Linked DNA regions of Rhinolophus ferrumequinum. The protein of the gene in region 1 interacts with the protein of each later gene in a pairwise test. Links are inferred from orthologs where the notes say so. Each region holds a gene or a part of one and is shown on either strand. Other genes may lie near its edges.

Region 1 (7,829 bases):
GGTGTCTTGAATGTGAAGTGTAAAGGCCCCATAGCTATGTTCCACTTGTAGCTGCATATTCCTTGGACAGAGTGGAAGTATGAAATCCTTTCCTAAAAAGACTCCCATCTAAAGAATCTCTGTGCCTGACAGGATCCTAATCAGTAACTTAAGACAAGGAAACATATTTTGTGCTATTAAAACCAGCTTTCCACAACACACTGTAGATAATTCTGAAAGCCACAATAGTGGGAGTTCTGATCAATTCTCTACATTTGGGATATAGTGTAATTACAATCAATACCGTGGTGCCTACTGGCCTGGAGCTAAGTTTAGAAGTTCAACTGTGGATCTAAATGTTGTTTTCCACCTTTGCTGCTAGAGCTGGGAAAAGGTAGGGGAGAGGAGCTAACAAGATGGAAAGGGCAGAACTCAGTGAAGGGGTTTGAAAAAAGCAAAATGATCTCAAATTTATGACTGGGTGTTTCAAAAAGAGAGTTAAATGAGAGGCTTGAGTGGAATAGGCAGTGGTGAGAGACAGAGGAAAAAAGTCTCCAAAAGCTGGCAAAACATAAGGTCAGGAAAGGCCATAGAAAAAAATATTGCTCTGCATTTAGAAGAACAGGAAATTTGAATCTCAAGAGCAGTAACAGTAAATAGCAGGAGCTATACAAAAAGGAAGACGTTCACATTTCCAATGTTGGCGATTATTATCAAGGGTCAGCAAAACATTATTATGCCTTACTGTATTTTTTTATGTGAATCAACACATCAAAACACATTGTTCTGTTAGGGACAACTGAAGAGTTACCAGATTAACTTTCCTCCATCAATCTAAAACCAATTTTACAACCTTTACATATATACATTTTTCTAAATTATTCTGAAAGTGTGTGACTTTTTAGATTTAAGCCTTACGTCTAAGCAGTACAGTATACTTAAATGTACTCAAGTTTCTTTTATAATCTTCAAAAATATTGAGAATTCCAAAGAGTATTTGTTTGAGGGTTAAACAACATTGTGTTAGAAATTAAAACTGACAAATTATTGAAACACTTATTAATAACTATAATAAATCCATTACATGCTCACATAAATAATATATTTTAAGTAAAAAATAACTATATTTTCCTAACAAAAACTCTTTAATGCCTGGCTTAATAGAACATAGCTGAATTTTCATATATGCTTTTGCAGTCAATGTTGCCTATGTTGCTTTGACTTAAGTATATGAAGAAAATCCAGCCTCATCCAGATACATAGTTGGAAATTTTAATAACTTTATCAGACAATTGTGGATATTCTTCTTTAATACTACGATAAATCTAAACAAATGGTAGTTTCTTAAAGGTTAGTTGCAATGTGGAATCTGAAACATTATCAATGAACTTTTTGTACTGTTACATTAAAATCCACTGGTCTCTCTCAAACCTTAAATGGATGTTTTACCCTTACATGAATTCTGTAATATCATGCATTGGTCATTTGGAAAATATTGGTTCACTGATTTATGCAGATCTTCCAAATGTTAAAACATTTGTACAGTTTCAAGTAATCTCACTTGTTAATATCACCACCAATTTAATCAGAAATGTCTTAAAGTGTATTGGGAAGCTGTCAAGTCAAAGTGGCAGATGTGTTTTCAAAAACTATAATTTTCAGTTGAAAGTTTGAATGTTATCATTGGCAACAAATTCTTCCAGTTTGAAGTGACAGGCTCACATTGTTCATTTTTGATAAAATATCTGCCAAATACCCAACTCCTAATGAACATAATTTGTCTCAATCATTACTTCAAGTAAAAATGGTGTTCTATGAAAAATTGGCTAGTTCAGCTCGTAACTCAACCAATTCCACAAGTGCTTTGCCACATATCTTGGTGTACAGCAGACGAGCTTTATGTATCCTTCACGTGTATCACACAGAATATTAACAAGATATGTACTCAAAAGTTTAAGTTTAATAAAAATTAATAATCTCTACTGCTTCACCAAAAACATTCTAAAGTGGCATTTTTTAATCGTATGTGGTATTAATAAAATTATTACTACTACAGTAATTGTTTTTGCCCACTATTGCTTTTACATCATCAGTGCAAATGTCAATGCAGTAAAAAGGCAAGTAATGTCTTAGTTTTATTATGATAATAGTTTGGGCATTGCAGACTGCCTCCTGAAAACATCTCAGGGGCCCCCAGGTATCTGCAGACTATACTTTAAAATTAATTCTCCCCATCCCTGCTAGAATGTAAATCCCACAATTCCAGGTTTTCTTTGTCTCTTGTTCACTGATATCCCTCCAGGGCCTAGGTCATGCCTGGCACATAGTAGACATTCAATAAATAGTTGCTTAATTAATTAATTACTTAATGAAATAATTAATCAGAACTAGATCTTAACAGTGAAGAGCATATAATCTGCATTACTGGAAACTCATTTTTAAAAATTTAGTTTTGAATAGATAAAATATACAACAGGACACATGGTGAAAAGTCTCCCACTTTGCCTTCCACAAGGCAACTTAAGCTGCTTTCTCAGAGAAAACCACTGTTGTCAGTTTCTTATGTATTTCTCCAGTGATATTTTATGGATTCACAAGTATTATATACACAAGCATATTCCTTTCTTCCTTCGCACATATGGTGGTATTCTATATACAACATGGATTGCATCATGCTTTTGAAAAAGTAAACTTTTTCTTTTGGAATAATTTTAGATTTAGAGACGTTTCAGAGATTCTTGTATACTCTTTACTTACTTCTACTAATGTCAACATCTTAAATAACCCTAATACTTAGTCAAAACAAAGAAATTAACATTGTACAATACTATTAACTAAGTTACATAACTTATTCAGATTTCACTAGTTATGTCCTTTCAGTTCTGGAGTCCAGTTCAGGATACCACATTACATTTAGCATACTGCTTTTTTCCCCCCCTTAAAATGTATTTTTAGGATTGCCTCCTATCAGTTAATAGGTAGTTGCCTTATTCTCTGGAAAAACTCTCTAGAATGACTTCCTTGAAGTAGAATTTCAAGGCCAATGATTATGTGCATTTAAAAATTATCAAACCCCTTTCCCTCAAAGAAATTACCAAACCCTTCTAACTAGTACTCTTGTGATTTGAATGTTCCAAGTTTCTTTGAAGTTCTAAGACTGGGGACTGAAAGTAATACATGTAAAATACTCAAAAAAATTTGCACCCTTCACAATTATTTTTAATGTACTGGAAAAAATACACATAGCATTGCACGATTTATATAATATAAATTATACAATTGTATATACAAATATATAATTCATTGTACCATGACCCACGTATATAATTGGTTACTCTTAGGACCACTAGGGGGCTCTGCAGAAAGGGTTTTTATAATTTATTTTAGTCCGTTTAGGGAAAGGTTTCCCCATGATGCTTTAAAATTCTGAACTTTAAAAACTTGAAAGAGATCACCTAATCCAGCTTTCTTATTTTCCAGGTGAGAAAACCAAGTTGGCCAAGAGAGCTGGCATGGAGGAGAGCTGGAATCAAAAATATCCTCTTGGTTCCTGTGGCAGGGGTTCCAGAAAATCTTTTTTGCCATGTGCCTCCACTGAGTGATTCACTCCCTGTGGCTATTCCCTTTCTTTGCTGCCACAATCTTAGTAATATTTGCTAAGACAGTGTATTTGTGATATTTGTCTAATAGGGTACTTTACTAATTGGTTAAGTGAAAGAAGTGCGTGAAATATAAACTTCTAAGTAACCTTTATTATTCTAAAATGTTTTATTCAAACTATCGAATCACCAAAACCATATTACTTACCGTAAACTCTCGCAACCACTTCACATTGCCTTTCAAACTTACTTTCCATTTAAAACATTTTACTCTTTACTCATTTATTCATTCAATATTTATTAAGTGCCTATTAGTGCCAGATATTGTTGTAGGCCCTAGACTTACAGAAGTAAAGCTGCCCTTCTTCCCCGGAAAACGTCTATTTCTCCATTTTTTACTTTAATATACACGTAAATTATTTTCACATGCTTTAGTTCAGTGGTTCTCATAGTGTGGTCCCTGAACCAGGAGTAGGAGCAGCAGCATCTGGGAACTTGTTAGAAACGCAAATTGTTAGGCCTACCCCACACTCCAACGATGGGGCCCAACAATCCGATTTTTTAAACAATGGATTCCGATGTATACTCAAATTTAAAAACTATGGCTTTAGTTCCACAGCTAGGTATTATCAAAATAGATCAAAGATCAACATCTGGCTTCTAAAACCATCTCAAACATCTCCATGGAGCATGGGACCCAACAAAGACCATATTTAATTCAATGATTTGTAATACCTGGCATGATCGTAATAGTGGCTCTGTAATGGCTTCAGAACAAAAACGGACAGCGGTGGATTTTCTGGGCCTATAAGCAGCAGAAAACCGGCCGGTCTGAGTTCTGGGATAGTGTTTTCATACACAGAGCCAAGCACATTAAGCCCGTGGGTCTGCTTGAGTTCAGGGCAGTGCTCTAAGCCGACTGGGGCCGTACGAACCCATCAGGTTGGACTCCAGCCTTTGGCTGGGGGCTGGAAGCCCGGGGCATACCATACAGGTTTGAAGACAGGCGGAGGAAGAGGAGACGACCGGGGAGGCCGGAGTATGGCAGGCTAGCGCGGAAGCCGCACCCTCCAGGCCCCAAACGCCGGCAGGGCGGAGCCACGCGGCCGCAGCTCCGGCAGAGACGCGCGGCGCGGCGCGACGCGGAGCTCGCGGCTCCCGGCTCGCGGCTGAGGCGTGTGGGGCTACAACCGTAGCGGCTGCGCCGCCCGGTCGGGTCAGCGTCGTGCGCATGCGCGGGGCCGGCGCCATTTTGGTGGCCGGGCACGGAGGTGATCCCATACTGAAGAGAGCGAGGCGGCCGGGGTGGCAGTGGCAGTGTTCGTGTGCTCGGGTGTGAATCGCCGAAGGAGGAGGCAGTGGAGGAAGAGGTGGCGGCGGTGGCGGTGGTCGTAGCGGTGGCGGAGGAGGCGGGTACGAATCAGCTGCGGGCGGAGACATGGCCAACATCGCGGTGCAGCGAATCAAGCGGGAGTTCAAGGAGGTGCTGAAGAGCGAGGAGGTCAGAAATGAACTCCGGGACATCCCCCATCTCAGCCCAGGGCGGGAGGGCCCTGCCAGCGGCGGCTCCCAATATCCCCGGTAACCCCCGGGTGGCCCTCCTTGCGGCCGCCCTTCTGCCTGTGGGGAAGCAGCAGTCTCCCCCCTCCTTCCGCCGCCTTCCCCTCCCCTCCCAGGGCCCTGGGATGGACGGTCTCGCTGGCGGGTCGTGTGGAGAGGAACATGGTTTGGGGGGGGGGACAGATGGAGAAGGGGGCACTTGGTGGTGTGAGCTCTAGAGAGACCCCGGGGCAGTGGCAACAGCTGGAAGTGTGGCTGTAGGGTGGTGGGGAGCGAGCAGGCCGAGCCTGAGAAAACCCGGGAAGTGGGTTGGGGGAAGGGGAAAGGTGGTAACTGGATCCGGAGAGCCGCGCTGCTCAAAGGCCCACACTTTTAAGGGTATTCTTGGTTATAGCCTGTCTGGCCTCCACTGTCCTTTCCTTAAAGGAAGTCCCTAGTTATCGATGAAAGGAGAAGGATGTTTAGAGTTACTCCCTCTTGGTTGGGTGTTGGGAGAGAAGAGGAGACATAATGGGATACTATCGTATTTGAGTGGGGGATAAGGGAATTTTCACCTCAGATAGGAAATTAATTCCAATCTAGACCATTATCTCATTTTCATTTACCTCCGATTCCTAGGCCTCTTTTGTGTTGACACCTAAAGCTTTTGACTGGGTAAAGGCAAGTTGTTTTTTGTATGAAAGGCATTTAAATATTTTTAGCTAGGAAAAAATAATGGGAGTGTATGAGAAGCTTATTTCAAAATATTACAAGTTACAGAAGTTACAGATCAGAAAGCCTCTCCTAAGACAATGCCTTTGTGAGTGTGTTGTGCCATGAAACTTCATTATGATGTGCCTCATAGTTAATTCTTACTTTTAAAAAACAGCCGTATTAAACACATGGGATTTTGCCACATTAATACATTGTTATAGTTCCTTATCAAGTGAGTAGGTATATCATAATATATCTGAAATGATTTTTAAAAAATTTTTGTCTCAATCTGCTCTTGAGTTCTGCAGAATTTAGATGCTCTAGTGTTAGCCACATTTATTTATATAAGATATTTTAAATGTTCTAGGAATTTGACTCAAAACCATGCAAGTGTCAGTAAAATTTTTCATACCCAAATCAACAAGAATACCAGGTTGTTTTTCCTCTTTAGATTTAACAAACAAAAATTAATAAGCAATACTGAAATGATTATTTTCAAGATGTCACATGCCATTATTAAACGTATCATTGCTATTTGTATTTTTCTCTTACGTTGGTACTTTGATAATCTCAATGATTTACTCTTTAAGTGTGTGATGAGTAATTGACATAAATCTGGTAGCACTTGAGCTTTTTTTTTTTTTTTTGCTACGGAGTCTATACTGATTATGTATTTTTCCAGTTAGAGAAAGTAATTCTTTAAAATTATTAAAAAATGACAAATACTAGATTTATTGAGTGTAGTATATAAGTAATGATCGGTTTTGCAGAGCAAAACCTCTGTGTTTGTTCATATGCCAAAATTCTGAATGGAAGGATGACTTTGTATTTTGTATTGCAGAAATAGTGTCATAAATGTACTGATACACAGTGAAACAATGATTTTATTTTTTATTTAATAAGAAGACATATTCCAGGATAGTTGACATATATGTTCCTAATGAAAGATTGCAGCTAATATTGTTACCAACAGCCTAAAACATTCCTTTTATAATAAGGTTGTACAATCCCGAAACTTAATATAAAACTTCTAATGCTTTATTTTCTAATACTTAAAAGTGGTAAGTTGCTGCTCTTGTGATTTATATGGTCTCTGCTTGTATGCAGTGACTTTTCACTGTGATATTCTTAATACTTAAATTGAACCTTAAAAGAAATCTTGTATTGCTATAGTAATGCATATATTGTTAAAATAATACTGCTGTTTATATGTAAGGGATAGTGAGGCCTTGCTTCAAGTGTCTTAGTGTTTCAGAGGAAGAAAACAGGAAATGCAAACACAAACTTTTTTTTAAAGAATCGTACCTTTATAAATCTGGAAGGAATCTTCTTCTGGAAAGTATGTTTCAAAGTACATTTAAGAAAGGGTCAGATAATTTAATTTTGCAATATAACCAATAAATAGCTTTATTGGCTCCAATATTTTATTTCACCTGTGTTTTAGTAGGGCCAGTTCTGTAAGTGAATTATTTTCAACTCATTGAGGGATTTATAGTACAGTCCATGTGTTTCCTTTTTAAGTATATAAATGCACTATCTTGAGTGGTTGATCTAGTAAGCAAGTTTTTCGTGTCACCTGTGTAAATTTCCAGTTTACCAAAGTTTATTTCTTATGCTTGTGTTTACTAAGAATACTGGTTGATTTAAGGATGGGGGGCGGCTTTTAAGTGCCTTTGTAACGATTGCTAATGTTTGCTGAATTCTGGCCATAAAAAGTTATAATTGGCCATTCTTGAAGTGTGTTGTTAATTAAAACATAGCCTCTAAGATAAAGCAAATGTGAAAGGCCAGGTGTAGAATAGTGTGAAGGCCACCATTTTTATCAGAAGGGGAAAATATACAGATTCATATATATATATATATATATAGTGTGATATATATAGATGTAGTTTTGTGTGTGTGAGATGTATATATATATCTATATATATATATTTGAAAAGGTTAATCACAGGTTGGTAATTGGATGTCTGGGACAACATGCACCAAAAGATCCCCTTT
Region 2 (7,993 bases), on another chromosome or scaffold:
GAGAATGGGGTGTAGGGAAAGCACTTCCTTTTTCTGGGCAAGCTGCTGTGGTTCTCACTAACGAGTCTGTGAGCCTGGAAGAGAGCCATAAATCTGAAGAGGATGTATTTTCCTACTACTGTGTTTTGTTTACTTCAACCCCTTCCTTTAAAATAAAATAAAAATAAATAACTAAACACCTAACCACATGCAATGTTGGTGGGCCCTCTAAACCCTAACCTTTAGAAGATCAAATATAAGACAAGCACATCAGACCAGGCTAAAAAAGACAGACACATTGAATGTAACATAAAAGCAAGATTTCTAATATTTTGTTCCTCCTCAAGATCTTTGCACATGCCATTTCCTCTGTATGTACCATCCTTCTTCCAGGTCTTCCTTCAAATGTTTCCTCAATCCAGTCACTTCTTAAACCTCCATCCGGACCACCCAGAGTCCAAGGTATTATCATCTTGCACCTGGTCCACTGCAACCCTCCTAATTGGACTCTGACCTTCCACTCTAGCCCCTGCCTACATTCCGTTCACACAGCAGCCAAACTGATCCTTTAGAGATGCACATCGGATCACTCCACTCCCCTGGCTCAGCACCATCTGATAATCCCCTACCATTTAAATTAAAATCCAGTCTTTACCTTCATCCCCAAAGATCGGACTCTTCTGGATACCTCTCCAAGTTCCTCTCCTATCACTCTCTCCCTTGCTCACTACTCTCCAGCCACACTGGCTTCTCTCCTTGAAGCTCCTGGGGCTCAGGATTTAAGCTCCTGTCTTGGGGCCTTTGCACTTGGGGCCTTTGCACCTCCACGTACAACATTCTTCCCTCAGAAATCCACTTAGCTAGCTAGCTTCCTTACTTCACTCATGTCTCAACTCAGATGCGACTTCATTAGACAGGCTTTACTTGATACCCTATTTAAAGTAGTGGTTCTGTCACTGTCTGCCACTTATCCAGCTTTCTTCTTCTTCTTAGCACTTTCACTGGCAGACATGTTATTATAAACCTATTTGTTAGCTGTTGGTGTCTGTTTCCCTCACTAGAATGGGAGGTCCCTGAGGGCAGGGTCTGCTGTGTTCCTGGCTGTATCCCCAGCTCCTGTAATCGTGCCTGGCACTCAGTAGACAGTTGATAACGATTTGTCAAATGACTCTTTGCTTGGCTGGCTCCTTCTCATCATTCAAGCCTCAGGCCAAATTTGTCATCTCAGAGAAGTTGTCTCTGACTTCTGGTCATAAGTAGTGCCACCCTTCCCCTTCCTGGCCCTGTCCGTCAATCTGTATGGCACATACCACTTTCTGAAATTGTTTTATTTATTTTATTTGCTTATGGTCCTTCTTTGTACCTCCCCCTCGCCCAGCAGGGACCTGTTGTGTTCATCTCTGTGTGTTCCAGTGCCTAAGACAGCGCCTGGCTCATACATAGTAAGTCCTCAGGCCAATAACTGTTGGGCCAATAATGAAAGGTATGGTGACTGGAGAGCAAGTTGCAAGCACATACCCAGCTCCTTCTTTCAATACTCACCTTTTGGCCACAGGAATCCACAGCATTAGGAATATGTTCTTCAGGTGGATGCTTCTCATCAGACCTCACCCCTTCATGTGACTGTGTGAGCGAAGACATTCTGGGTCTCCTATTTTTCTCTATTGGATTTTCGGTGGGTTCCAGGAAGATAGGCACAGGTTTGTCCTTAACCACAATTTGGTGCTTTTCCTTTTTCAACACTCCCTCCTTAGCTTCAGTGGAGACATTAAACACACACATACACATAGGCATATAAGTGATTTCAAATCCTCTTACTGTGTTTCCCCGAAAATAACACCTAGCCGAACAATCAGCTCTAATGCGTCTTTTGGAGCAAAAATTAATATTAAGACCCAGTCTTAATATTAATATATAAGACCGGGTCTTATACAATATAATACCCGGTCTTATATTAATTTTTGCTCCAAAAGACGCATTAGAGCTGTTTGTCTGGCTAGGTCTTATTTTCAGGGAAACAGGGTATTCATGTATCTGTAGCCTGCCCCGGCATCCTGGGATGGTGGTTGGTAATAGGGGGTGTGAGAGAGCTATTCAAAACTCTCAAGCAGGCAGCTTAAGTTTTACTGCAGAAATGAAATCTCAATGATATGGAACATCGTCCACTCATTAAAAGTCATGTCTCTGAAACTGTCTCGGTTTCCCATTTCAATGATGTGGAATAATATTCATCACATAAAGTGGAGTGAGAAAAGTAGGGAATCAACAGTGCAGACTCCGAATTTTGTAAATATACATATGTGTTTACTGACGTTCATAGAAATAGCCTGGAAGAAATATACGAAAATGTTCACATTGTTTATCTCCAGGTGGTTTTCTTCTTTTTGTCATTTCTATAGTGCGCATATATTACTTTTGTAATCCTCAAGAATAAATCAAAGGAATAATTATTTAAAACATAAAAGTGGAAAACCTAAAGGGCACGGGGTGACAAACGTCTGGGGTAGGGAAAGGTGCTTTTTTGAGAGCTGAGAAATACTATAAGGCAGGACGAGGATACTGGAAAGCGTGAACTCGAAGGCGGCGCTGTCAGACCAAGATCCCAGACTGGGCACCTCTGGACTCCATCCTCCGTGGCTGCGGGCTGCGTCTCTTGTCAGCAAGAGCCCGCGGTTCCCGTGCCCCATCAAACAGGTGCCATACTTTCTCCCGCCCTCTCTCCTAGGCCAGCTCACACTGGGTTAGCCTGGAATCCCGTGAGGCTGGGCCGCAGGGGCGGCCTTTGCAGCCCCAGCCCGGCCCGCGGCTCACCTGCCCTTTCCACGAACTCCACCACGAAGGTGCCCGGCGCGCCCGGGCCCAGGGGTCTAACGGTGCACTCCCCGCCGCCGGAGCGCCGGCTCTGCAAGTAGCGTTCCAGCTTCCGGTGGAGAGGTTGCTGGAGATCCGTCTCGGACACCCGCACGAGCAGCGGGGACGGCGAGCGGCGGTTCGAGGCCATGGCTCTCGGCGTCGAGCTGGCGCACCGGCTCCGGCCTCTGCTGGGACAGGGACTGGGGCAGGGGTGCGTCCCGCCTCGTCGCCTTGGGCCTCAAAGTTTCAGTTTCGCTTTCCCCGAGATCCCTCCCTGTTCCCAGCACAGCTACTCTCCTTCCTCTCCTTGCTGCCTTCCCTGCCGCCGTCTGGCCGGGTGAGTATGTCGGTCCCGTGTCCCCCCGAGCGGTGGGCGCCCAAGGCTTTCGCGTCTCCTTTTCTGCGGGCTTGGCCGAGGTAGGGGTGGGGCGGGCGAGAAACGGGCTCCTAGGGCCAGGCGGCCCCCGCCTCCAACCCAGGAGAGGGTGAGACTGGTCAGAGGCTGAAGTCGAAGTTTCTCCCGAGTTTGTGATTCCTTTTAACTCTTATTGTTACTATTGTGTGCAGCTAAAATGTAATTCACATTGTGAATTCGGATTAATACCTACATTTGAAAAAAACTGAAAGTGTTCTCCTGCATTATGACATATCACCTGTTACCTCCCTCCAGCTCTATCCTTTAGACTGGCTCTTGGAGCGTGATTTGGCCAACAAAACCGGACTGTGTGCTGCCCTTTGTACTGGGGAATAAAGATGAACGCAGAGGCCAGCGACCTCACAGGCTGGTAAAGGGAGGCGGACTTGTGAATAAAGAAGCAAATCTCTTGAAAGCGCCCAAGAGGAAGTCTGCAGCAGAGTCTTAGAGAATGTGTGTGTGAGTGTGTAGGGGTCGGGAGGGAAGGAGCATCTGAGGCCCAAGGACCCTTGTGATCTGAAGCAGAGGGAGCTTTGGGGCCTTGGAGGAGATGAGATGGGTGAGGGACGTGACAGAGGAAGGGTCTAGATCAGTGCTGTCCACATATCTAATAGGAACCACATATCTAATTTAAAAATATTTAGTAGCCATATTTTAAAAAGCATAAACAGCTGAATTTTAATGATGTTATTTAATTCAATATAATCTTACATGTAATCGTTCCTGTATCTCAAATTAATCATTCAGCATGTAAGCAATCTTAAAACCGTATGAGATACTTTACATGCTTTTTGTCATACTGAGTCATTACTACCTGGTGTTTATCTCACACTTACATCACATCTCACTCAATTGGGACTAAGGAGCCACATTTGGGGCGTACAAGAGCTCCATGTGGCTAATGGCCCACAGCGGACAGCGCAGATCTAGACAGTGAAAAGTCTTGAAGATCAGTGGGGAGAAACGGAAGGGTTGTGAGCACCGGAAACAGAGTGACAGGTCAGAAGTGCATTTTAGAAACATGGCGTGGACAACCATGTGGAGGACACATTTCCAAGCAGGGACAAAGGAAGTAGACAGGCCTGAGATAAGGTTTTTGAGATAAGACAGGCCTGAGACAGGCTTGGATTTTGCAGAATCCAAGCCATTTTGGCAGTACTATCAGCATTACAGCTGCATGGGCTTTGTGATTCTGCAGTTAGAGGTAGGAGGGCGCCTTTTACAGTTTCTGAATTTGAACCAGTAAACATAATACCAATTCAAACAATGAAATGTAAAATTAAATACATTAAAATCTTTAAAGAGAATGACATAGCTCAGACAAGAGGCCCTGAAGTGAAATGATGTCAGTGGGCAAGGAGGGTAGGGGCATATTTGAAAGTGGGTGCTTTGGACCCAAGTGATGGGTTCCATCTGGGACAAAAGAGGAGATTCTAGATTTCTGACTTGAGTGGGTAAATGGTGTATCATTGACTGAGCTGTGGAATCCAGGAGAGAGAGCATGAATTTCGGAGCGGGTCGGGTGGGTGTAGGGAGGTGAATCCAAGCAAAGGGCCTGTAAAGGCAAAGTGAAAGGTAACAAAAGAACCAAGGGAAGATAGCATAGGAGAAGCCAAGAAGGCAGAGTTTTAGGACTCAAAGAATGAAATGATGATAGAGAGAAGTCAAGTAAAGATTAGGACAGAAGAGAGTCCACTGGGGTTAACCTTGTGGAGATCACTGATGAGCAGTTTCAGAGGAGTGCTGGGGGTGGGGCAGGAGTCCACCACAGTGGGCCGAGCAGGCAGACGGATGGGGGAGAGTCAACCTCTTCATGCTGCCCATGCGGAGAAAAGAACACAGTAGGAACTAGTAAGGGAAAGTTGGGAAGGCTTTTGTTGTTAATTGGTGTTGTTTTTAAAATGAGAGAGATTGAATGTTCTGAGCAATATGCTCCTTGTTTCTAATTTCTTTGGGGTTTAATAACCCCTCACCCCACCCTCAAGAGTCTATCCTTAGGCCTTAAAAGCCTGGTCGAAGGAAAAACATAAGTGCTACAGCATCTGAAGCAAAAGCCCACCTGATGTCCACAGCCAAAGCAGACAGGAGACTTCCCTCTTTTGTGAAAACAGCAGTGCCCTCTGGAGGCAAAAATGCATCTTGTCCTCACACTTTAGGACTGTATTGGACTTGCTGCTTTTCCTGACATGTAGGAATAATAGTTCCCTGATGCTGTAGATAGTCGTACAAAATTTTTCATTACAAAGGCATTAGAAATCATTTCAGAGGCCTAACGACAACTATGTGGGCAACAAGTGTAGGCAACTGTGTTGTTAAGCATTTTTGTTGGTCTCCAAAAATTTGATCCCTACATATTAGATGGAAAATCATTGAAATATGTTTTTCCAGAGTTTCTGATGTTTATCCAGACAGTCCCCTTTCTAATTAGATCAGCAAATTTATCATAGGCTCAGTAACACATATCCTTGACAGGCATAAGTACAGTTTGCTTTCTTCAGACATTCTCCAGGGGTCTTCATACTCATAAAGCTGGTTTTGCCTCATTGTTCTTTGAATGCTGTGCTCTGTCTTAGCTCTTGGAATCATTCTCCTCTTCCAATTAACTATATACAAACCTGCTCCATCCCTCAAGGTCTGGCTCTCGTCTCACCTTCTCCATAAAGCTTTCCCTACTATAACCCTTATGGTTCTTTCCCCTCTCTGAACTGCCATTACGGTTTCAACTGGAACCTCTCTGTAAAGGACAGAAGGTAAACAGTAACCACAGCAGAAAAACAATAGGGCATCTTCACCAGTAAAACTAAAAGCTACTCAAGATCAGAAATCATGTTTTGTCTTCCTATGGCGTATTCTTATCAAATTTCCTAAGATGCTGATCAGTGCTTATTGCATCCTTTCTATTCATTCCTAGAAGTGGACCACCATAATTGGAAACAGCAGTCTACGCTCAGAAACGCAAAACAGAGTATAAACATTGAAAGACCCCAGGTACTTGGAGGATGGACTTTTCCAAGGTAAAAGTACTTTTTTATAAATGTATACTCACATAAATCATGAACTTTGATCAGGCATAGTACTTCCTATAACTAAGCACGAAATCTGGGTCTTCAGTTATGCCCAGTATTCGTACTTGGTTTTAATAGCCCAATAAAAGTTGTCTCCCTGTACCATGTGGGAGAAGAGGAATCAAGAACATGCTAATCTAATCAACAGAGTCAACATGAGGATCGATGATTTTTAAAAATATGACTTCAGTATCATTTTTATTCTATCTTCTCATGCAGCAATTCTGCTTTTTTGCAGGATGGGGTAGAGGAGGAGGATGGAGGAAGATAAGCAATTGAAAAGTGGGTCCTTATTGGTAGACAGGAAGATATAGCTGATGAAGCTCATGTCCGCATGTCTTCTGTTCTGTCTAGAGAAACCCTACAAGCCTTTGGAAATTGGAGGCCTGTCTGAAAGTTTTGGGTCCTTTTGGCCTGTGATCTTTGGGCCTTTTCAAGTGTTAATCTCCAACCCATGTTGAATTAGAAGTGTACTGGCCTCTAGGAAAGTGGGGTAGGGTCATTGTTTGCTAGAACATTTAGTATTTCAAGTATTTCAGGCACACAGATTAAACAAATGAACAAACATGTGTTCCCCTTCCCTCTCAAACCCAGTGCTTTTAGCAGAATTTCTGTTGCTCTGTGCTTATTAGGCTGTATTTGTTATCAGTAGTCTGTAGTCATTTGGTTTCAGTTTTTTTTAAACCACTTTCATTTTTCACAGGGTACTGGAGCAGCAGCTTACAATGAGAAATCAGGTAGGATCCTGTCAGTCTCGGGCTTGTTTCAGAAAGTCTTTGCACCTATCTTTTCTCAGTGGAGAAAGGGGAATACAAAAGGAGACTGTCTACCCCACAGGTGCTCAGGTGCGTGATTGCAGGACCTTGTGGTGACCCGGCACTTGTCTCAAAGGGGGACTGCTTCAGAGGCGGTGTGGCACCAGCTGACGTGTTCTCTTAGGGCTCTCATTGGTCCTTTCCTTTGCTCACAAGATGTCAGACTCTTCTGTCCACAGCCGTAGAACTGAAATTGGACAGAAGAGGTGACCCACTGATTGACCCTTGCTCAACAAGGGCTTTGTAAGAGCCAAATGGAACCTTCCTAATCCTAGAGGTGGCCCACTTGTGATTTTCAACCAAAACGTGGGCCAGTTGGATCTGGCTACTCACGTACTGCTTCTTTTAGGTAATTGAAGCCACCAAAGTTCTTTCTAGGTGACTCAGATTAGAAATGGGAGTTGAAGTAAAATATAATTAACTACGACATTTTCCCTATTTTAGGATGCACATTTTTTCATATCTCTGAAATAAAGCTCCTCCCTTTCAGTAGTGTGCTATGGTTTAAATGGCATCGTTTTTCCTTCCTCAGTGACATATAATAACGATGCCTTAGACTCCAGTGAAATGCAGTGTCACAAGCGGGGTTCTCAAGGAAGCAAAAACTGAGATGGAGTTAGGAATGCAAAAGATTTATTGTGAAAGGAAAAGAGATTTGGGGAGGTGGAGCCATCAGACTGTAAGGAAAACCTGCCAAAGCTCTGCCAGCCTGAGATTGCCCATTACGGGAGGCCCACATTAGACATAAATGGCCTTGCTCAGCCGTTCATGGAGGCCACCTTGAGAATAGTGTGACCTTGGCTGGAAAGCGGAGATGGACTCTGAAGGGCAAACAACTAGAGGCTGTCAACTAGCCATATTCCCTC
Region 3 (7,097 bases), on another chromosome or scaffold:
TAACTTACTGAAGACAAGAAGTCAAAGATGGCCAAGTTTCTGTCCTGAAGCCTAGGCAGGTGGTGATGCTGAGATACAGTACACAGAGAGAATGGGTAATAAGGCATGAAAATACCCTGGCTACACACTCAACCTGATAGAATCAGCCAGGAAAAACTCAGGATATAAATAATCAAATGTAATCTGTGCATGTGACAATTTTTTACTGTCTCTGAGAATTTTCTTCCCCTTTGTTATTCAGCTAGGTGTGAATGATGCTAGGCAAAATTCTGTACCAGGCTGGAAGAAGGTGAGGGGATCCACTTATTCACCTGAGGGCACAGGGAACTAAGTCCCTGTGCTCATAATGCGTATGTTCCAGAGTGGAGAAAAACACAGTAAGTTTCAGATAGTGATTAAGTATATGAAGGAAATACAACAAAGCAATGAGATCAGCTGGGGTGGCGGATCACAGGAAATTTCTTTAAACAAGTAACCTTTGAACTGAGACCTAAAATTATGAGAGCCACACAGAGCTGGATGCAGAGTCCCACACTGAGATGACACCAAGTGCAGAGGGGTGTGTGAAAGGCAGAAAGGAAGACTTCTGGGGCCCTGCCCTGAGTCATGGCCAACAAAATAGCCTGCTTTCAGTTTCCATTTCCTATTTATGGGCCTTTTTCTAGTTCAGCCTTCTACATACACGCTCTAACCTTTGTTACAGTGCTACGTAGAAAGTCCCTTCTCCTGCTGTATTACAGTACACAGAGAGTACACCAGACTGGAGGACATAGTCATTCAGGGCTTGAAAGAAAGTTTTATAAAAACCTAACATCCCACCCAGCCAGAGCTGCAGTGATGCTCAAATTTCCAAGCACGAAAGTTAGCAAAAACCAAGTAGGGGCAGCGAAAAGCAGGTGGCTGGAGCTAAGGGAGACTTGCGCTGCCCTCAGTGAGGTGCATCCATCTGTCTTCAATCAACACTGAACTGATAAACATGTGGAACTAGTATGATGAGTATAGAAAAGTTTGAATCCCAGTATTGACCCTTGACCTCTGATCCAGGGAAGGTTCACCTGGCTCAGGGAAACCTCAAATTTTGCTGCTGTTCAGCTGGTCAATTGTACTGGGTCAAGTCTCTTTATTCATCCATTACCACCTCCGTCAACACACACAGGTTTGATCCTTACAGTAACCTCCCGTTGCACAATGAATTTTCACAACAGTCTAAACATTTGTTGGTACTTACCGGGATGCCAAAAAAAATGTATACACATGACTTGTCTATCCTTGTTATCTGTATATATTGAGTATTACAATTTTAATACAGCTTTTTCCTTTCTTAAAATGTGTGTACATTTTTTTTGGCACCCTCTGTACTTATCATCAAGTCAATGCCTCGTGAATTGAGGGCAGCATGGCCTTCTTTCTTACTATGTCCCAAGCATCTGGCACAGAGTGAGTACACAAATATTTCAGTCTGTGGAATATAAGATTAGAAGATGGATGGTCACTGTGCAGGGCACTAGGGATACAGAGAGGGGCAAAGCAGACATGGTCACTGCCCTCGTGATCCATCAGTTTTGCTCTGTGCAAGAAACTGGAGGTGACTTCCATGAGGACGGTGATAAAGGAGGTAACAAATTGGGACTTGAGGTCTGAAAAGGATGTCGGGTAGCGGTGGGGGCGGTGCAGATGGGCACGAAGAGTTCCAGGCTAAGGGAACTGCAAACGAGAACAGCCAGGGAGAAAGAGCTTCATGTACTTGAAGAAGCAAAAGGCACTCAGTGTGGCCGGGGAGCCCTTGCCAGGTGCCAGCTGTTCTCTGGGCAGGCAAACAGATGCCTGCAGTCCATCTGGGAAGAGTCGGACACCCTGGTGAGCCTCAGAACTCTCACCTGCAATATGGCTGCCAACCCCAACCCTCTTCCCCCGCAGGATTGCTGTGGAAATAAGAATGCCTGGGAGGCCCCGCCGGTGCCTAGCGTGCCGACTGACCAGTAAAGGGGTCCTAAGCCCAATGCCAACGTGTTGCCCTCGACAAGCATTGAGGGAGGCCATGGAGGAAATGCCAACTCTCCGAGGCAAGAAGCGGATGGTCAAGTTTTCTACAGTTCTTTCAACGTAGGTGTGTTTTTGTGTCTGACGGAGCTCAAACGCCTCCAAGCACCTATCCCAGCCCGGGACCCACACTGACATTGACCCCCAACTCCTTTTGTCCTCACAATGTCTGTTAGTAATATGCGGGCCATGGAGGCGTGATTTCAAGTACCATGAAACAAGCTTCGTACCCACGGAAGGAGGAACGCTGGCAATCCCTGTCTGCCAACTCGCAGTCCCTGTCCCAGTTAAGGGCAGAGCGCTCCGATCTACGTCAAGACTTCCCTTTTGTTCGTTTAGTCTAGTTCAGCGTTTCTCCAACTTTCGTGCACGTTACAATTACTTGGCAGAGTTGGATACACGACTCCGTATGCATCGACTTTAGAGGAGGTGTACGCACTACTCAAGGGAAGTTGGGGCTCTCGAGGACAGCGGACTGTAGACCGTACCTAACCCCAAGCACGGTGCGACTCCACCATCGCTCGTGGGAAGGTGCTGACAGGCGGCCTGAACACAGCGGGCGCTCATCAGAAGGGCGGGATACTTGGGAGAGAGCAGGACGGGAGACAAGAGCGCCCTGCCAACTTTCACGAGCCTTCAGGAGACCGGGAGGGCCCCCTGGAGAAGCCCCGTTAGGCCGGTCCTCTAGCTCCCGCCCGAGACGCTCCCTGACGGGGCCTCGCCCCTCGGATCCCTTCCCCGTCCCAGTCAGGCGCCCCCCGACCAGGCCCCGGTTCGCCGCTTACACGTGTCCGCAGACCACCCGAACCGGCTTCTCGTACACCTCTAAACACACGGGACACGTATAACGGCCCAGTGGGTCCGCCTCAGCCGCGGGCCCTGCCAGCTGCGCACCACCCTCAGGGTCCTGCTGTTGCGCCGCCATCTTGCTGCCGCGGAGCGCCCCGCAACGGCGGCCGAGGAGGAGCCCGATGGGGCGGGGCCGAGGAGGCACGCTGGTGCACGCGAGGGGTGGGGCGCGGGGCGGAGAGAGGGCGGGGCTCCTGGGCAGCAAGGGCCGCTAAGAGCTCGGATTATGGAATGTACGCCTGGCTGGGGCGGGGCTAGTGGATGCGCCACGCCTTCTTGGCCCCTCTGACCGGAGGGAGGGGGGAAGAGGCGGACGGAAATCTGGAAAATGTGGAAACCAGATCCACAGACTGGTAGTATTGGAACGGGCTTTGTGCTTCAGCCTCTTTTCTAAATTTAAATTATTACTATTACTTAATATTACTTATGCACTATTACTTAATATTTCTCTTCAAACCGAGTTGCTTCCTTCAAACGTAAGCAAACAAATTTTAAAGGGAGATTTGATATCACTCCTGAGCCACAAATAGAAAATCAGTTTCACTTATTTCTATAAGGAAATTGTAAAAATACAATGGAAACAAAACAAAAATACAAATGGAAACAAAATATCATTCATTCATGCTGGATACTGCTGACGCTGAAAAGAGAAATTAGCCATTATTAGACAGGTGTTGAAGACAGGCTATCGCCACACTGAGACTTGCTAGCGAAAGCAGAAGTAATGGGAAGCCAGTCTCGCTCCGTGAGTCAACGTTAATATTGTGTTCACGTGTCTCCTGGCAATGCAATCCAGCTCCTGCTCTGTGTAAACAAGGAAGCTGGGGCTTAAGGAGATAGACTAAACCTCAATCTCACAAGAAAGGAGCAGGCCTAGACCCCATATGTTTTGAATCCTAACTTCCTCCACTTTCTACTGCACCCAGTTAGCTCTTGTATGCAGCCCATTTAACAAAAGATACATCTTTTTAGAAGGCAGGCTGTGCTAACAACCCTGCGTGGTTTGCTTAACCAGGAAAATTAACGATCAATGAAACCTCCACCTGAAAGGCCACAAAGGCTTCACAGTAAGGAGGCTACACGGGACAAATAAACCTCGTGTGTTAAACCAGGTTAATTGAATGCAAGTTTGTGCCTTCTTTGTCCTATTCCCAATCATCTGGATTGATTTTGCTTGACCTGGTGGCATCAGGAGGATTATTTTCAGCTAACCACGTGGGCATCTTTTCACCAAAAAATAATTTGGCAGGTAGGCAGCAGCCCACGAGGCCTCTGATTACTTACACTTTCCTGTTTCTTTTTCCTGTTCCTATGCCAGGAACCCATTCATCTGCTCTCTCTCCTCTCTCCCTTCCAGGGCAGACAGAGGGCAGAGGTAGCTGCCGGTATTTATAAGCCTTTGTGTTGACCCTGTAGCTGCTGCCAGACCCTGGGGAGGTGGGGGTGGGGATGTGGGTGAGGGGTGGTGGTGGGAAGAGAGCCTCAGACCTGGGCTTCAAATCCACCCAGGGCCTCCAGTTTGAGCTCTTGAAAGGAACGTTCCACGAGCTTATACTTTGTCACAGAGGCAAGAGAACAAGATTGAAATAATTCATAGTGAATGTGGGTTTTTTTGGTGCTTATTATTCTAAGCCTTTTACATGAATAAATCCTCACAGTACCCTATGCCTTAGGTTCTATTATTATCCCCATTTTACAGCTGTGCAAATTTGAAATACAAAGAAGTTAAATTACCTTTTAACATGGATGGACATGAGAGTCAGGATTGGAACACCACATGCAGTTTGGCTTTTGCACCTGTGCCTTTAAGGGTGCCTGGAAGGCTGCTGGAGCCTCCCCCCCACCCCACATCCTGATACAGTGTGGAAGTAAGACTGGGCTGTGGCCCAAGGAGTCCAATTCTAATGGGTTTCTAGGTAAGGCTGATGTTGTAGAACCAGGTAATCATATTTTGAGAACCACTAGCTACACTACCCATCCCTCCCCACGTCAGTGCTGAGACTAGACTGAATGTGCTCCATCCCTTTCTGTTTTTCCGAGGCATTCCCAGTGACAGTGTCCCCACTATACCTTTCTTTGCTTGCAAATATATTGTCAGTCCTCTCTTTTCCCCATACTCATACTTGCTGTTTTTCAACAGTCAACCTAATAATATGTGTCAAATGAATGAACCTCTCTTCTTCTCGCTTTCCCTTAATGTTCTTGTGCAAAATATTTCCCACAATAGTTTCTTCCTCTCCTTTAGTTTTTGGCAGCCTCTCCCAGGTTGCCCACGTCATCTAAGGTCCTCTTGAGGTTCTGATATGAGGCTGGAGTGGGGAATAGATCCTGTTCAAAGTCTTCACAAACTTGAATTTTACTGTTAAGGGAGACTCATTCATTTAGGCAACAAAGAGTCCCTGTGGCCTACTATGTGGCAGGCCTCTGCAGGGTGGGGAGATACAGTGTGGGAGAATAGTTGAGATGAATTAGACAGGCCTCAAATCATATAATCCTCAGAGTCCTATCTCTCAGCCACAGGTGACATGTAAAAATTATTACTACACTTATCTAAAGTAGGCAGACTTTGCAACATTATGTATTACTACACTTATTAATCTATGGGCAGGTAATTTCATCTTGATTTCAAACTGGTGCCAAACTGGTAAGAGCCAGGAGGACTTCCCATCTATACCACTAGGGGGCAAACGAGTATCTCACAGACTCATGGGGCCCACCAAGGTGAACACCAAACATCTCCCTTATTCTTTTTAGTTCCTTAAGTGTTTACAGCTCCTGCCCATTATAGCTTACTGGGTCTGGAAGTAAAAATCAAAAAGGACATAGTCTCAGATTTCAAGGAGTTTTAACATGAGTAACACTGGCATGTAAATTTTCATTCAACCAATAACTTCTATGTACCAGGCATCCTACTAACAGGTGTTGGGGATATGGCAGTGAATGATCTGGACGTAAACAGGAAAGACATAGGAGGATGACTACATAAAAATGCTGCCTCCAGAAAATTTCAGTTTATCAGTTTCTTCACCAGCTCACTGTTTTCACACAGCATTTTACAGTTTATATTATACCAAGAATCAGCCACATAATGAGGTAAAAACAATGATGATCTAATAAATTCTGACAAGAACAAGAACCAAATGAATATTATCAAGGCTGATTGAAATAAGCATTTAAATCCACCATCATCAGCTACAAGCTGCACTGCATGTGTATTTGTGACTTGAGACATTGGCTAATGAGAATGAAGTCGTCACAATATTAAAAAACTAAGCATCTATATAGAAGTAGAATTGCTGGGTCATTTGGTAAGTGTATATTTAAATTTATTAGAAACTGCTAAACCAAACCATTTTCCAAATATTTTCCACTGCCTCTAACCCGGTGTGAGTTGCTCCATATCCTACCAATAGTTGGTTGTCAGCCATCTTGATTTTAGCCATTCTATGGGGTTTGTAGTGGGATCTTGTGGTTTTCATTTTCATAATGATGAATGATGTTGAACACTTGTTCATTTGCTTATTGGCCATTTGTATGCCTTCCTTTGGAAAGTGTCTGTTCAAATCTTTTGTTCATTTTTTATTGGGTTGTCTTTATTTTTTAGTTGTAGGAAGTAAAAAATATTATTTCATACTTAGCACATACTTTTTGTAAGTATTTATTTTGAAATAATTTTAGATTTACAGAAGAGTTACAAAAGTATTTTTAAAAACTCCCAGAGACCCCTTCAACTGGATACCCCAATTTATCACATTTGCTTTATTGTTCCATCTCTCTCTATGTATACACATACACACACATAAATACACACACACGGCTGGCATATACACACACACACACACATATAATATATATGCATTAATACATGTATTGATGTATATTTATGTATAAATACATATGTATTTATGTATACATATGCTCTTTTTCTGAAACATTTGAGAGTAAGTTGTAGACATCATGCCTTTTGCTTTCAGTGTGTACTCCTAAGAATAAAAACATTCTCTTACAAAACCATCGTACAATTACCAAAAAGAAGTTAATATTGATACAACAGTATTACCTAATCTATAGACTTTATTCATATTTTACCAATTGTCTCAATAATATTTATTTAAATAAAAATAAATGCCTTTATTTTTCATTATTTGTTTTTGTCTGGTTCAAGATCTCATCTAGGACAGTCTCTTTAAATTTTTGTTAGTCTGGAA
Region 4 (7,718 bases), on another chromosome or scaffold:
AACTGGACTGGATCCTGGAACAGAAAAGGGACATTAGTGGGACAAGTGGCAAAATGTGAATATAGTCTAGTTAGTATAGTATTAATGTTAAATTTCTTGTTTAGGTAATTTTAATATGGTTGTGTAAAATGTTAACATTAGGGTAAGTTGGGTGAAGAGTATATAGGAAGTCTGTATATTCGTTTTGCAAGTCTAAAATTATTTCAAAATAACAAGTTTAAAAACATATGTGATGCAGGTCAGCGGCTGGCAAATTTTTCTGTAAAGCACCATATAGTAAAAACTTTAGACATGTGGACTATACATGATCTTTGGGGCAATGGCTCAACTCTGCTGCCAAAGACAACATGTAAATTAACGAGAAAGGATCTTACTTTCGGACACTGGAATTTGTATTCCAATAAAACCTTATTTATGGAATTACAGGAATTGGATTTTCCTATAATTTCCATATATCACAAAATATTATTCTTCTCTTGATGTATTCCCCACCATTAAAAACTGTAAAAAACAGTCCCAGCTCACAGGCCATGCAAAAACAGGAAGTGAGGCCAGATTTGGACCACAGGCCAAATTTTGTGGACTCCTGCTCTAGGTCAGAATTTGCCAATGTGTGCTTCAGTTAAAAAAAAAAAAAAAGTGCTTCACATCAATTCAGTTTGGCAACACTAGATTAAACAAGGTTAGGCACATTTCTTTATTGCAGATATCTCAGGGACCTTAATGTGGTACTATACACTGAGAAGTTCCAAAAAGGGATAATGATCTATAGTTTTTACAAACTTATTATTACCATAGAACACTTTTTTTTGGAGGGGTCTCTTCAGATTAGCGGCCTGAAAAATGCACTATGTATATACCTGTTTAGGTATTTTCTTAAAAAGAAATGTTCAGATTGAGAAGTTTTAAAAACACCATCAAATTAAAATCATTTTACCTAGCACCTGGATGATACCTGAATAAGAATTTCGCAATTTATTTTTTTAAAATCGTAGGAAACACAAACAAGGCAGGAATATAAACATTGACAGAAAGTCTTGGCTGAAACCCAACCTTTTGGGGGGTAGGAAGCATGTCAGCAGAATTGGGTCATAATATGGAATCTTTGCTCCATAGGACAACGTAAGCATCCTAACAGGTTTTGAAGTAGCAATCTGCTTGGAGTTTTATAAATCACAAAATAGGAGTTTTGATGTTTGATTAGAAAACTAAAGATATAAGATATATAGAAGCATTACCTGCAGATAACCCATAAATGAGGATGAACTGACATGTCAAGTCCATAAAAGGACCGGTTTTAAACGCTGGATGGAACGTTAGACCATAGATTGCAAAAATCCCCTTGGTAGACACAATATCTATACAACACACTTCTGGAGAGAGGATTAAAGGGAGACTTATGTCCCAGGGAAGAAAAGCTGGCCTAAACAACCTCAAGGGACCCTTCTGACTGTGATCCAATTCTGTGATCCAAAGAGTTCACTGGCTTCTCCTGATCAAATACAAAGTCTTCCTTCAGAGGCATTTCCAAGTTGTTCTAAGAAAATAAGCTATAAACAGATGGTGTGGGGACTCTGCTTGGTTATTCATTCAGCAATGATCTTAAGGCGTCTTTATCAGATGGACCATTCCAAAGTCCTTGAAAAGGATGGTTCACAGGACAATCAGGAAGAGATTACAAGATACATTACATTCAGACCCACCGCCTTACTTCTACAAGATGTAGGCTGAGGGAATGGAGGTGTCAAGAAAAAAGGGCAGAAAAAAGAAGTCAGCTCCAGAAAGATTCAAAATAATTACTCAGAATTAGAAGCTGTCAAATGGGAAAGGACCACCATCTAATACCTGTATACCTCCTATAGCAGGAAGCTCACTACCTTTGGAGGCAACCCATCCATTGCTGGGCACCTCTGACCAGCATTAAGTTCTATTAAATCAAAATCTTGTCTTCCTGTAGAAACCATCTATTGGTCCTAGTTCTGCCCTTTTCAACCCCAAAGATGAAGTGGAAGCCCTCTTCACCATAACAACTTTTTCAGTTTTTAAAGACAGTTCCCTTCCATTGCTCTCTTTCCTGGGATAAACACCCAGTTCTTTCAAAGATCCTGAACCGGCTCCAGCTGCCTCAAAGCAAAGAATGGATATCTCGTAGTTACAGCAGGAAAACACTTAAGATCAGTGGGCTTCAAACATCAGCATGTACAGGACACCCGAGCCATACGTTCCAAACGCAGTTTCCCAAGTTCCCACCCAGATTCTAAATCACAGGTCTTATTTGAGTCCCCCATGGGAAAGCATGCACCCCTATAGCATTCCAAAGCAGATGGTGTGAGAACGGTATTTTGAGAAGCACTGCCCTGTTTTACAGACGAGGAAACTAAGGCCCAGCAGAAGAAAGGGATTTGGCCCAGAACGCACAATCGGCTGTTGGCGGCGAAGTCTCTAACCCGGGTCTCTTATGCCCAAAGCCCAACTCTGTTCACCACGCTTACCGGCCTCGGCTTCTCCACTCGGGGCAAACTTATTAAAAACACATCCACAGGAGAGAAATGGCCTCGAGCGGGGGACAGAAAGAGAGTTATAGTGAGTCCCTGCCTGGAAAGGAGAGCTCGTAAGGAGCCTTTTCCTTTCTCGGGGCCTCAGTTTCCCCCAACTGTAATCACTGGACGAAAGACCACATGCCAGCCCGACCTCTCTTCTGGGGAGGAGGGCCTGAGGCGGAGCCAGGCTTGTTGTCTCTGCGCCCCTGGACTCAGGTGTCGCAGCCCGTGGCCCGGTGAAGGCGGGACCCGGTCCCCCGCCCGTGTCCCTCAACCTCGGATGCCCCTAGCTGCTCCCCCCACCAGCCCCTCAGGTACCTGCCGCTGCTCAGCTAACGCCGCCGCCGAGGCTGCCCCAGCTTCTCCGTCAGTCGGCTGCTCCGCCGGTCTGTCCGCCCAGTCAGTGGATCGGCCTGGACCTCGGATCACTCCTACGCGAACTCCAGTCACCTGACACAGAATCGCCCCTCTCCGAGACTTCCGGCCGCAACCGGAAAAGGTTGGTCCGCTGAGCTGTTCTCCGGCCCACGCACGAGACTCTAAGGTTCCGCTTGCGGATAGGAAAGGGAGGAACTTAGGAGCTGTTTGGCAGCGTTTTAAAGATCCTTGGTCAGGACAGGGAAAGTGCCAGACAAGCTTGGAACATCTTGTTGCACCAGAATGTAAGGATGATGGGCATCCGAATAATGGGAATATGTGAAAGGACAGAGGAGCTTACTTAAAGGATATCCCACTGGCCAAATTGGAGCATTTTTGAGCATCGAAATACATAATGATAGTAACAGAGTATAACTAACTGAATAAAATGCTAACCCATGAGTCTTTACTAATATAAATAATGTAGATAAATAAATGAGGGAGAAGAGAAAAGTCTTCCTTTTAGTAGAAGCCAACTAACAAACATGATGGAGTTAGAAAATCAATAATGAGTGGTAAAACTAGAGGAACAGGATGTTTACACAGTAAAATTGTCTCCCATAAATCACTTATTGATTACAAAGGGAAAATAGTATTTTTACAAAGGTATAACCTCACAGAACAAGTGACTCAAAGTAATCAAAGTTAATGTCACCAGCTACAGGTCAAGTAGAGATCACGTGCCCCTCAATAAGATGCATTGAGAAGGAGGCATCTCTTCTGTGACATTTATATTCAAAATGCATAATCCAAATCTCATGAGGAAGCATGAAATAAACTGAAATCGAGGGACACTACAAAATAAGTGTCAATATCACGAAAGACATTTGAAGACTGAGGAACTCTTCCTGTTTAAATGCAATTAAAGAGACATAACAAAATATGGTTGGATCTTGGACTGGGGGGGAGGGAAGGTAGAATAGGTATAATGGACAATATTGGGACAAGTGATGAAATTTGAATATGGATTGTGGATTAGCATATTGTATCAATGTTAAATTTTCTAAAATTGATCATTGTATTGTGGTTAAGAGGAAATATTCCTCTTGTTCTTAGGAAATATTCACTGGAGTACTTAGGGGTAAAAGGGCACAATGTCTCCAACTTAATTTCAAATGATTCAGAAATATATATATATATTATAGAAATGATTAAGCAAATTAGGAATATATATATATTTATTTATTACACGAATGATTAAGCAAATTAGGAAAAATGTAAACAAGTGGTGAGTCTAGGTAAAGGGTATATGGGAGTTCCTTACATAATTTTTGCAACTTTTCTTTAAATTTGAAAAGATATAAAAATTAATATTTACCCTCTAAATAGGGAAAGTGCCTGGGTCCTAGCCTGTTTACTTATTTATTTATCAAATATTCATTTATGTGCTAGGTACTGGTTATGTGATAAGAGACAAGCTCTTTGCTTTCATGCCTAGTGGGAAAAATATTAAACATGCAATCACAGCACTAATGGATTACTTATCTTGAAAATAATAATAGTTAACATTTACTGAGCTTAACTAAGCACACTCTACACAATGGTTCATTTTCATTTAATCCTCGCAGCAGCCCTATGAATGGTTTTGGTGGTTGTCTCCATTTCACAAATGGGTAAAAGAAAACTTTTAAAAGGTTACACAATTTTATCATTTTATTAAAAGTTTTCAAATCACATATCATTTAATTAAAAGGTGATGGAGCTGCAATTTGCACCCAGGAAGTTGTTTTCTAGAGTTCTTGACACCCATCTTCATTGTTTCATTAATTCAACAAACATTAAGTGTCTACAGTGATCCCAGGGATTGTATTTGGGCTTGGGTCTAAGTAGGGGGTGAAGGCAGTAGATGAAATAAACTTATAGATGAAATTCCTCATCTGCCAGCCCTCTTCCCTGTTCCTGGGGACAGGGAGTAGTAACACAAGATACGTTTCCAGTCACACAAACCTGGATTTGAGTCCATCTTCTCATAAAAAGAAAAGGAGCCCCTGATATCCCGGAGCTGGCCTGGCATTCACAGGTAGGCTTTGGTGTTCAGTTGAACATAAAAATGTCACAGAACATCAACATCAGACAAGGCCACTCTGTGACTGTGATGGATCAAGACAATAACAAGACCTCTCCATAATCATACCTGAACCAGATAAAACATGAGCATTATCCAAACCACAAAAATGACCAAACATTTCCCTATCCTGGCTCATATAGAGATTGCTGCTTCTTTACCAATTACAGCTTTAGTCTCAGTCTAGTTTTCCTGCCTTCTCGATAGGATTTATCAAGATACCCAAATCATAGACAGTATCCAATCCAGATCAAAACCCTGCTGCTTCCTTGACCCTCCCCCAAATTAAATTCTAAATGTCCTTTCTAACACTCTGTTTCTGAGACGCCTCATCATTCCTTGTGGTTCACATCTCCCACCCCTCGCTGTAACAAGTAATAAACCCAACTTGTTCAACCACAAGTGCGTTCCTGTAGGTCTTTCATTGGTGGGCATCTGTTGCGCCCAGCGCAACACAGGCAGTGAGCGAACGAGAAGGGGTGGCGAAGGGTTAAGAAAGAAACAGAAATCAAGAAAGTTATGAAACCCAGGCCGAAGGGTCTCACAGCCTCAAAGGACTGAGAGCCCCGAATCGGGCCACCTTGTGGCTTTTATTGATGTACATACAAGGAAGTAGCATTGTTTTTTCCACGGTCTGTGAGTCTCATACATCATACTAGAAAACTGATTCAAACCAATCACCCTTGCCTGCAAGCAGCCAGAATTGAAAAATCCCATGATGTCTTAATAACTGTGGTATGTGCCTCCCCTGGGACAAAACCTTTATGCTGAAACTTATTGATAAGAATAGAAGGAGAACTGATGTTATCACATCATTGACTCACTTCCCACGCAGGTTGTGGGAAGGAATATAGCCACGTAGGCAGAAGCTCTCCTTGGCCAGGGGAAGGGAGGACTGTGCCCACCTCTATCGACCCATGAGTTCTTCTGGTGGTCCCCACGCGGCTGCACCTGGCTTGGGTTGTTCCCCCCATGGGGAATCTTACCCGTCATTGGCTGTGCCATCTTTTGGGGCCAAACAGAGAGACATAAGGTGTAAGCACAAAGGTGAAGCAAAATCCCTGAAAGGATCAGTCTCACAGACTCTTCTTTCTTTAGGGATAGGCACGAGGGGACAGACGGTTAGGCTGCTGTGTGACAACAGGCATCGAGAATGCCTATGCTCACTAGCTATGTGACTTTAGACAGCAGTTTCACTTACAGAAGACTGTTTCCTCATCTGGTAAAATGAAGAGATTTATTCCTACCTCAGAAGGTCGTTGTGAGGATACAGAACAGGCTTAGCACTGAGTTAGCTCTCAGTATACTTTTTAAAATTTCTGCTTGCATTATGACCTCCTTCAAAAAAGTCAGAGTACCGTCATTATGAAGAGGCATTGCAGCCATGAGCTTCACTTAAGACAAATTTGTTGATTATACTCCCCTTTGCTCCTTTTGTTGGGCAGACTAAAGGTGAGAGTTCAACTTTTCCTTTGTCAGAAATGAGGTCATTCCCGTGGTCTTTTCTGGAAAGCAACAACCAAACTGAAATTTGAATGTTAGGGAACAAGCACTGTTTATTTCTTCATGTTCTTATTATTGAACATATTTCCAAGAAATAACAGGATTGGAACTACCAAAGTTGGAAGAACTTCAGTTTCAAAAGTGTATCAAGTAATAGCTTCTCTGCTTTAGCACACTAAGGTACTTATAGACCCCAGAAGCCCTGCTGGTGATATTTTCATTTATCCTGCTAGGGCCCAGCATGGATTTCATATTATTTGATGCCTACAATAAGTTGTGCTAAATAAAAAAAGTATTCATACCAGTGGTAAAGAATAAAATAACTGGAAGTGTTCTGGTTTCTTTCTCTGCTTGCTCTGAGTATTCCAAGGGTTCTCATTTTAATAGTCTTAACTTCCTTCTGCCCCACCTCCTCTTATTCCTCTACTATTAATACTAATAATGGCAGCTAATACTTGTTGAGTGGTTTATTAATATGCCATACACTGTGCTAAGGGCTTTATGCAATTTAATCCTTGTTCCAAATTGTGAAACAAATATTATTACATATGAGGAGTTAGAGGCCAAGAGAAGTAAATCAACACACCCAAGGCTGCACAGCTGGTAAGAATCAGGCTAAAGATTGGAATCTGCCTTCAACACCTGCTCCTGTTGAAATGCTGCCTTAACCACCCTGAGCGAGAGAGTGGGGTCTGTGAAAGGATGGAGAGGGGGGCTGGAAAGGAAGGAAAAGGCTGGGGCAGGAGGGTGTGGGAGTCCATGTATTTGGAGCATTCAGATCTCCAAAATGCAGAGGGTTGGAGACTAGAAGCACAAGACAAGTAGGAGACCATTGCAGAGCCTCAGAAGGAACAGGGACCTGAGTCAAGGGTAGGAGAGGCCAGGAATCTTCTGAGTACTGGGTCAGAAGGACCCTATTCCTGGGAATTATGCTCTTCCCAGAGGATTCTGGGATATTCTCAAGATCTCAATACCCTCTCAGGTCTTAGGGAGAAGGCCCAGGCACCAAGGCCAACTGCTGCCTGCCACCTGCTGCCTAGCCAGGAGTGGGTAGCTGAGGTATGCACAGCTTCTGATCCGGTGACTGGAAACTTTCCCAGGGCCTGAGGGCAAGGAAGACCTAAAGGGACAAAGATCCTCAGATTCCCCCCGATCCTGCACCCATCTGTTCAGCTTCAGCCTCCCCCACCGCT

What was found.
Region 2: the proteins of UBE2K (region 1) and DTX3L interact in binary tests that used the Homo sapiens proteins (3 or more experiments, as listed by UniProt). The link is inferred for Rhinolophus ferrumequinum from reciprocal best matches to the Homo sapiens genes UBE2K and DTX3L.
Region 3: the proteins of UBE2K (region 1) and RNF114 interact in binary tests that used the Homo sapiens proteins (3 or more experiments, as listed by UniProt). The link is inferred for Rhinolophus ferrumequinum from reciprocal best matches to the Homo sapiens genes UBE2K and RNF114.
Region 4: the proteins of UBE2K (region 1) and RNF185 interact in binary tests that used the Homo sapiens proteins (3 or more experiments, as listed by UniProt). The link is inferred for Rhinolophus ferrumequinum from reciprocal best matches to the Homo sapiens genes UBE2K and RNF185.

What each region holds. Positions count from the first base shown.
Region 1 is NC_046288.1:14,523,900-14,531,728, reverse strand, and holds the start of UBE2K (ubiquitin-conjugating enzyme E2 K), read left to right. Parts: upstream 1-4,812; 5' UTR 4,813-5,016; coding exon 5,017-5,079; intron 5,080-7,829. UniProt on the Homo sapiens protein: Accepts ubiquitin from the E1 complex and catalyzes its covalent attachment to other proteins. In vitro, in the presence or in the absence of BRCA1-BARD1 E3 ubiquitin-protein ligase complex, catalyzes the synthesis of 'Lys-48'-linked polyubiquitin chains.
Region 2 is NC_046285.1:47,308,679-47,316,671, reverse strand, and holds the start of DTX3L (E3 ubiquitin-protein ligase DTX3L), read right to left. Parts: upstream 3,016-7,993; 5' UTR 2,981-3,015; coding exon 2,791-2,980; intron 1,734-2,790; coding exon 1,522-1,733; intron 1-1,521. Other genes in the region: protein mono-ADP-ribosyltransferase PARP9, read left to right, coding at 6,247-6,261, 7,016-7,157.
Region 3 is NC_046306.1:9,561,665-9,568,761, forward strand, and holds the start of RNF114 (E3 ubiquitin-protein ligase RNF114), read right to left. Parts: upstream 3,014-7,097; 5' UTR 2,966-3,013; coding exon 2,826-2,965; intron 1-2,825. UniProt on the Homo sapiens protein: E3 ubiquitin-protein ligase that promotes the ubiquitination of various substrates. In turn, participates in the regulation of many biological processes including cell cycle, apoptosis, osteoclastogenesis as well as innate or adaptive immunity.
Region 4 is NC_046308.1:20,177,532-20,185,249, reverse strand, and holds the start of RNF185 (E3 ubiquitin-protein ligase RNF185), read right to left. Parts: upstream 3,019-7,718; 5' UTR 2,859-3,018; intron 1-2,858. UniProt on the Homo sapiens protein: E3 ubiquitin-protein ligase that regulates selective mitochondrial autophagy by mediating 'Lys-63'-linked polyubiquitination of BNIP1.